Nothobranchius furzeri: one gene and its partner. The protein of the gene in region 1 purifies or fractionates together with the protein of each later gene. This does not show direct contact. Links are inferred from orthologs where the notes say so. Each region holds a gene or a part of one and is shown in the gene's direction. Other genes may lie near its edges. The genes, in order: pan2 and pan3.

Region 1 (3,818 bases):
GTTACAAGCAATTATTTTTACTGAATTTATTGTAAGAATGTTCAATAAACAGTCCAAACTGATACGTAACATGTTTAACATGAGGTATCTGAACCATGATGGAGGGATTTACATTTCAATGGTGGAAACAAAACCCGTTGCACACTGCTGCCAACTAGCGGGTGGCGATTGAATTGCACAAAACGAAAAGAAAATACACAAAAGTTTGCATGTAAATTCTTTCAAGAATTAGATTCACGGCTTTTGAATATCAATGTAATAATTGCAGGAAAAAATATCACGATATATTGCCATATCGATATTTTCTTACATCCCTAATAATTACCCGTTGGTGACACAGGATCAGTCCAGCTTTTGTGTTTTAGCCCTCGAACATGAAGGAGCAAAGGTCCCTTCTTAATTCTTAGAGGTGAACTTACTCCACCTCTGTGGTTGTGTTGCTTTTATCATGTTGTTTTATTTGTATATTTGGTTATTCTCACACACATTGTTGGTTTAAAGTTATCCAACAAAACCCAGTAGACCTTAAACCACTACAGCTCTCTATCCAGACAGACCGATGAAGTGGTTCCAGGTTTATTCCTGTGGAAACCTGAAATGTTCACAAACATCAACAGAAATAAAAGATGCTGCTGCTTCACTACAGTCCAAAGTGTTAAATGAGAACACAGCTCTATAAACATCCCTGTTTATGTCTTTAAGTGTCCAGGTTCTCCCTACAGCTGGTTAAATAAATGCTTAAGTTACGTGAAAGGGACACTGGTGTCATTTATCAGAACCCCCTGATGGGTCTCTAGATAGTTTGTTTTTTTTTCCTTTGAGTTTGATAAGTTTCAGTTTTTCCTTACAACAGACGAGCTCCTGCTGTGGACCCAGAAATTCTTCGTACCATGAAAACTGTCGGTTTCATCGGTTATGCAGCAAATCCTCGCACACGCCCCCGAAACCAGGTAGAAGTCTAAGTTCCCATGTTTTGAAAAGCCTGTGAATGCACCAATAGATTGTGTTTAGGCTCTTGGTGCCACTGAGGGAAAGAAAAGGGGAGGTTTTAGTTGATTAGTTGAAGTTGCAAAGAGCCAAAAGGCTGCATCAGTAAACAAACAAATGTTTTAATGAGGAATTTTTGCTGCATTTTAAATCTAAACTTTTACGTCAAATGCTTTTAGTGGTTTCACTTTAAGTTTCCTGACTTGTGTCCTGTGCGTGTTTCAGGTTCCCTATAAGATCAAGGATGTGGAGCTGGATTATGATAATTACAACCAGGTTCCAGAGTCTCCGATCGGCCGTGAGGAGGAGCCGCATCTCTGCCTGGTTCCTAAGAAGTACAGGAAGGTGGGGATGTCTCTGTTACGGATAAATATCAATGGTGCATTTACTTTTAAGGCAGAAAAGTAAGTGTGTGTAATGGTTTAATGAGTGTGTTTGTGCTGCATCAGGTCACCATTAAATACTCTAAGCTGGGATTGGAGGACTTTGACTTCAAACATTACAACAAGACTCTGTTTGCCGGCCTTGAGCCGCATATCCCCAACGCCTACTGTAACTGCATGATTCAGGTAAAGCACCCCGGAGGTTCTGTTTGGGCTCGAGTGGGAAAGAGGACTAACATAGGTTGTTGATCTCTGACTATTCTGTTGGGTGCATCAGGTGTTATATTTCCTGGAGCCAATCCGGCATCTTGTACAGAATCATTTGTGCCAGAAGGAGTTTTGTTTGGCCTGCGAGCTCGGCTTCCTCTTCCACATGTTGGATCTGTCACGAGGAAACCCGTGTCAGGTAAAGTCCCGGTCCTGTCGTCTCTGCAGGGGTGTTAGGACATCACCAACCCTGTGCTCTGGCTCATCTCTTCCCTCAGGCCAGTAACTTCCTCCGAGCCTTTCGCACCATCCCTGAAGCTTCGGCTCTGGGCCTGATCCTCGCTGACTCGGATGAGCAAACGGGGAAGGCCAAACTGGGCCGCCTAATCCAGAGCTGGAATCGCTTCATCCTCACCCAGCTGCACCAGGAGACGCAGGAGCAGGAGGGTCCGCAGGCCTACAGGGGAGCCAGCAGCAGGTCAGAACAGCTGGAGTCGGCCAGCATGGAGTCTGCAGCTGTTTGAGCAGATGATAGCGGAGATAAACTTGTGTGTGTGTGCTTCTGTTCATGGTAGCTCTCTGGGCTCCTCTGGTGAGTCCATCATCGGGAAGCTGTTTGGTTGTGAGGTAGAGAACAGCAGCCTGTGTCGCTGTGGGAAGGAGACGGTCCGGTCCTCTCTCACGCTGCTCTTCACCATGCATTATCCAGAACACAACTCTCAGAGTGAGTTAGGGGGCTTTTTCACTCTTAATGTGCTTTTACGTAGCCTGGATTGATAAATATTTAGTTTGGGTTCTTTAGACAAAACGGTTAAGGAACATGATTTTGCTGAGATCCTGAAGAAAAGCATCTGTTTGGAGCAGAGCACTCAGGCGTGGTGCGAAAACTGTGAGAAGTACCAGCCTACGGTGCGTTTCATGTAACCGCAGCAGCCACATCCCGCCAGCAGCAGAATTAAATGGTTTTATTCTTTTCTCTAGGTGCAGACACGTAACATCAGGTGCCTGCCCGACGTTCTGGTCATAAACTGTGAGGTAAACAGCGCCAAAGAGGCGGAATTCTGGAAAGTTCAGGCAGAGGTAACATATCACCTGTCTGCTTTACTGCAACACTTTCCATTTAAATCGGATCTCCTGACTTCCCTTTTCTTTTTCCAGTATGCTTTTAACAAAGCCATGCAGAAGGAGGCCACGGAGCCAGCGAGATCCAGCGACCCCCCTCCCAGCAACACAGAGTGGTGCTTAGAGTAAGAACATCGTCAGTTTGAGTTTTATTTGAATCATCACACCTGGTGGAGCCGTCCAGGTCTAAATGACATCTATCACACTTGTTTTTATTTGCCTCGTTATGATTAATAAAATAATTGTAAAAGAGAGGAGAAGAGGAACAAAATTGTTTTGCTTTAAAACAGATGCAGAAGTTTAGTTTCCACTTCATTTTGCTTTGATGAACAGATGATTTCAGATCCATGGATTAGAGGAAGAGCAATCAACCAGCTTTTAATCAGCCAGTCTGTATTTAGTTGGAATAAACCCACTGTGATGATGATGATGATGAACACAGATGTTCTCAGCCATTTCCTGCCCTGATATCCAGAGATCTGTGTCAGCCATAGAAAAGCCCAGATAGGTGGACCTCTAACACAGATCATTGGTGTCTGTTCACATCACTCAGTGGGGAGGAGATCTGCAGCATGGGTGGCTTCACCTTTGACACCCGGGCAGAAGATCTACGACACGTCTGGATCCCTGCCACTCTGAAAATGTCCATCAGTAAAACTCAGGGTCTGGAGATCAGCAGCTGCTCAGAGGGAGAGGAGGTACGCTTTTATTTAGCCTCTTCTGTAGAAACGGTGAAGATTTGCACATGAATCCTGACTTGTTGCGACGCCTCGGTGTCTAGCTGAGCTCTGCTGAAGAAGCAGAAGGTGCTTCTCTCTATGATCTGGTCGTCACGGTGCCCCACGTCCAGGACGCCCGCACAGGTGGGAACCTGGTTGCACACATCAAAGTGAGCGAGACGTACCACCAAAGGAAAGAGGTGAGAGGAAGTGAAACATCAGCTTCATCTTCAGCGGTTAAAGTCGACATTTAAAGGATGTTTGTGTTTCAGGGAGTCACACACCAGCAGTGGTACCTCTTCAACGATTTCCTCATTGAACCCATTGACAAGGTAAATATTCTAGCTGTGTTATGTTAGCTTAACATCATGTTAACGATCAGCTCTTATATTTATGTTTT
Region 2 (4,385 bases), on another chromosome or scaffold:
GAAAAATGGTCACTTAGGATATTTAGAAATTAATTTAAATGTAAGAACAGGTCAAAAGTGTCAGGAATTTACTTTTTTACATTGTTATACAGGATGTTTTTAAGATTAAAAAAAGATTAGTAAATTTTTAATTAATATCCTGCAATGGTTGAAAATATGAATCAGATTTATCTTTAATAATGACATTGTTTTAATCAAATTACCTAATCTGGATTAGATGTTATGGTAATTCCTCACATTTAAACATTACATTTTTCTTAAATTCAACACAGTAGAATACAACTTTAAATCAGATATCTTACATAGTCTTCACAAAAATCTCATAAATTATTAGAAAAGTGAAGAGCACACATTGAGAATATTTTTTAATGTTCAAAAAGTCTGATTCTACAGTCACAATTTCCAATGATTAACTTTTAAAATGCATTTTCAGCTTTCAACGTCATGAAAAGCTGTGTTTAAACACTCACGTACCTGCAGCTAGTGCACATCTGTTTCCCCGCACCATAATGCTTGCACTCTGTGCCTGGTTTCTCAGCGCAAACAGTGAAACTGCAGCGCACTAAGTGTGCGGGGATCTTTTTAAAGAGAGGAAGTCTTAGAAATAGTCACGCCTATTTGCTCAAAACAACCAAAACATTAGCACCATAGAAATAATTTGAGATGGCAAAATGTATTATTATATGTTGCCATGCGATAAATACAGACATGCAAAAGAAGAGGTATTTTTTTGCAGGAAATAGGAAAATAAATATGTTTGCATAATCGCTATAAGTATATGTATGCTTTTTAAAATTTGTCTCAAAACATGCATATGTGAAACATTGTATTTAGAATAAAACATTTAATTAAAGAAATTGTTTTCCTTTGTTCATGTCCTGAGTGAAACCTCGGTGGTTTCCAAAATTCCCAAAGTTTAGGGCCCGCCACTCGACTGCAGATCCTGCAGTGTTAAATGTGTGGTCTAGAGGGATCAAAACTTAATTAAATTAAAGACTTCGATTGCTAAAATCATATAATTTTTATTATTACACAGCACTAAAACATTATTCATAAATGAATAAAGATTAAATAAAAAATACTAATGTTGCCTTCTGTCTCAGTTTATTTATTAATTTACTCATTTATTTATTAGTGACTTCATCAGAAATACTTGGAGTTGCACTTTAAGTTTAAAATTGGGAAGCAGCGCTCTTGAGTTGAGTTTGCGGCAGGTGAATGATGCTGCACTCCACGCAGCATATCCTTGTTAGCTGCTCTGCTATCGACTCATCAGCCTGGCTGAGAGCAGAAAACAACAACAGGCTCCGCTACAGCGTAGGCAGCTGCATGGACGGTGACAACAACCACCAAGATTTCACACATGCGGGCATATTTTCTTAAACCAAAATGTATTTTAGCTTTATAATACGAGTAATATGGGATGTTAAATGTTATCCGTGAGCTGAAGTGATTTATTTAGAGTAGTAAAGTAGCTGGCTTAGCACTTAGCTCTCCGCGGCTCTATGTTCGAGTGCCTTCCGGCAGCAGTGGCGGCAGCAGTGGTGCCATGAACAGTGGACTCCCACCTTCAGCTGCTCCGCTCGGGGGTGTCGGGATACCCAATGTCAAGGTGAAGTTTTGCCGATACTATGCGAAAGACAAAACCTGCTTCTATGGGGATGAGTGTCAGTTTCTGCACGAAGACCCGTGCATGGGCAGCATGCCGCTGCACGGCGGCGGTAGCCCTGTTCCGCTGGCCACGGCGGGGTACTCCCTCGGCGTCACGGCGGTGACGCCTTGCACTGGCGGTGGAGGGACCGGTGTATCCAAGAAGAACGAAACACTGGGGCCTGCGGGCACGTCCCTAGAGGGGCAGCTATTAACCAGTGAGTACACACGGACAGGGCCCCGGACGAGTTAGCTAACTGACTTTTCTTTGAGGCCTTAAGCAGCGGTCTCGTAATTTAGCCCGAGGACTCGCATGGGCCTCTTTACCGCTAAACAGCGTGGTTTACCGTAACATGCCAGAACCAAACCTTATTGTAGGCAGTTAGCCCTTATCTTTCTCTCTGGTTGTTTTGCAAGTTTAATTTAGTTTACATTGAATATTAGCACAATAATAAAGAGCCATGTGTGTGCAGCTCACTCGGAGGCCTGTTTTTGTGTGACAGCTGTGTAGCTATTAGCTTGTCCAGTTAAACAAACAAGCGTCACATTAACAAACGCTTGAGCTAACTTTAGTGTTTATTTTTTCGTCTCAAGATTTCTTACTCCTTTGACTTGTTGTAGCATTAGTTTTAATCTAGTTAAATGCTTATATTTTAATTCCAAGTAGTGCTGCTGTTGTGTTTTTCATGTTTGCTAACGTTAGCGTATCAATGCTAACTGTTTTACAGCATTGTTGTTGCTTTTCGCGTCGTCTTTTGTCGGGGTAAACAAACATTAATAAACACGCATTTACGTTTGACTTAAGTCATTCAAAGCTTTCTAGACACATTCAAACCTAAAACCACCAATAGCAGCGAATATTTATATATTTAAAAAATACAACTTTTTTTTTTTTTTTTTTTACTTAAGGTGCGCTTTATTTTATCACCTTGTGGCAGGATCTGGTGTTGACTTCAGTAAAGTTAGCAAGATATTCACAGATTCGACTTTTGCAACTCAATACCTTCTGAACAGGATAATACTTCAAAACATAAAATACCTCTCTGGACTCGTGGCAAGGTAGTGTATAAGCTACAATCTTAAAAATAAAAAAAACCGTGCTCAGCTCCCGACGAGCTAAATTGTGCTCTATGAGAACACGAACCTGCCGGGACCGTCTGAAAATGGACTAACCAGAAACAGCACCACCCCTGTATGCTGCAGTGTCACCAAATTCATAAAATATAACACTACACACATGTTCTTCATACTACATTGATTATTTTAATCCAGTAACACATAATGTTTATAATTTTTTAATTTTTGAAGATATCAATTTTGACATTTGCTCCATTTTAAAATGTAGTGACACCAAAATCATACACCACATTATCATTCATTCATTCATGATTATCATTGGATGCAGAAAAATGACTTGTCTGCTTTTTGGTTATCTTTTTATAACTTATAATTATCTATATTTCCTACATTGAAAATGTTAGCGATACCAAACTGACGGCAACTAATTGCATTACCTTATCTACGGTCTGCACGTTTTATTTTTATTTTTTTGTACTTCTCTGATTTTGGGTGATTTCTTTCAAAGTAAGAGATTTCAATAGCCCCTACACTGTAAACTCTGTTGACATAACATTTACTTTTGTTTAAAAATACTTCTCAGAATTAAAATTTAAATTTTTTAAAATTTTCTAATTTCAATAGCTCCTACACTTTAAACTCAATTGACACACAATTTTGTAATATGTAGAGGAGCTAAGTATTGACCAGCAGGCATAATTTTGTGTCAAGAGTTCACAGTATAGGAGTTATTTAATTTCTACGTTTTAAAATATCACCAAAAGTCAGAACGAAAAAAAAAGAAGAAAAGTATAGTATTTTCTCTAAAAACATAAAATGTGTAATATGATCAGCATCCAAGTTGTGATTTTCTGTGTGAATTTGGTGTCACTATAGTTTTAAATGGATGAGCTTTTGCAATTTATATTAAAAGTTTCACACTAAATCAAAACTGTATACCTGGATTAAACTAAATAGTTTAGTGTGATCAGCGTGTGTGCAGTGTTGTATTTTGTAAATTTGGTCACGCTGCAGTGTGTAACAATGGACTTTTTACAAAGTTTATCATCTAATGTTTTTGGTGTGATGATTTGCTGATGGTCCCTGAGCGCTCGTTTTGTTCCGTCGGCCCATAGAGATCAATGGTGGCTCAGGAGTTAAGTGCTCGCCCCGTAATCGGAAGGTTGCAGGTTCGAGTTCCACTCAGTCTGTCGCTGTCGTTGTGTCCTTGGGCAAGACACTTAACCCACGTTGCCTGCTGGTGGTGGTCGGAGGGACCGGTGGTGCCTGTGCTCGGCAGCCTCTGTCAGTGCGCCCCAGGGCAGCTGTTGCTACATCGTAGCTCATCCCCACCAGTGTGTGAATGACTGATTGTGTTGTAAAGCGCCTTAGGGGGTTCCAGGACTCTAGATGGCGCTATATCAAATACAGGCCATCTAACGTAACCATCGGGAGCAGAGCGTATTATTTCTTTTTTAAGAAACGAGGTTGTAGCTTGTTCACTACCTTGCCACGATACCAATTCCCCTCTGTTCAGAAGGTATTGAGCCGCAAAAGTTGAATCTGTGAATATCTTGCTAACTTTACTGAAGTCTGGTGTGTCGCAAAAAGCACCCCCATAACGAGAGGCACGTTGAAGGTGCTTTATTTCACTCTTATAGTAGTTTTTCAGTACTTAT

The links.
Region 2: the proteins of pan2 (region 1) and pan3 purify together in Homo sapiens (co-immunoprecipitation; 5 studies listed by BioGRID and IntAct, with this or other methods). This does not show direct contact. The link is inferred for Nothobranchius furzeri from reciprocal best matches to the Homo sapiens genes PAN2 and PAN3.

What each region holds. Positions count from the first base shown.
Region 1 is NC_091755.1:54,247,994-54,251,811, forward strand, and holds part of pan2 (PAN2-PAN3 deadenylation complex catalytic subunit PAN2), read left to right. Parts: intron 1-853; coding exon 854-950; intron 951-1,212; coding exon 1,213-1,332; intron 1,333-1,436; coding exon 1,437-1,556; intron 1,557-1,647; coding exon 1,648-1,776; intron 1,777-1,855; coding exon 1,856-2,055; intron 2,056-2,152; coding exon 2,153-2,301; intron 2,302-2,379; coding exon 2,380-2,486; intron 2,487-2,558; coding exon 2,559-2,657; intron 2,658-2,735; coding exon 2,736-2,824; intron 2,825-3,252; coding exon 3,253-3,397; intron 3,398-3,480; coding exon 3,481-3,618; intron 3,619-3,690; coding exon 3,691-3,750; intron 3,751-3,818. UniProt on the Homo sapiens protein: Catalytic subunit of the poly(A)-nuclease (PAN) deadenylation complex, one of two cytoplasmic mRNA deadenylases involved in general and miRNA-mediated mRNA turnover.
Region 2 is NC_091747.1:51,123,114-51,127,498, forward strand, and holds the start of pan3 (PAN2-PAN3 deadenylation complex subunit PAN3), read left to right. Parts: upstream 1-1,321; 5' UTR 1,322-1,549; coding exon 1,550-1,868; intron 1,869-4,385. Other genes in the region: receptor-type tyrosine-protein kinase FLT3, read right to left, coding at 475-508. UniProt on the Homo sapiens protein: Regulatory subunit of the poly(A)-nuclease (PAN) deadenylation complex, one of two cytoplasmic mRNA deadenylases involved in general and miRNA-mediated mRNA turnover.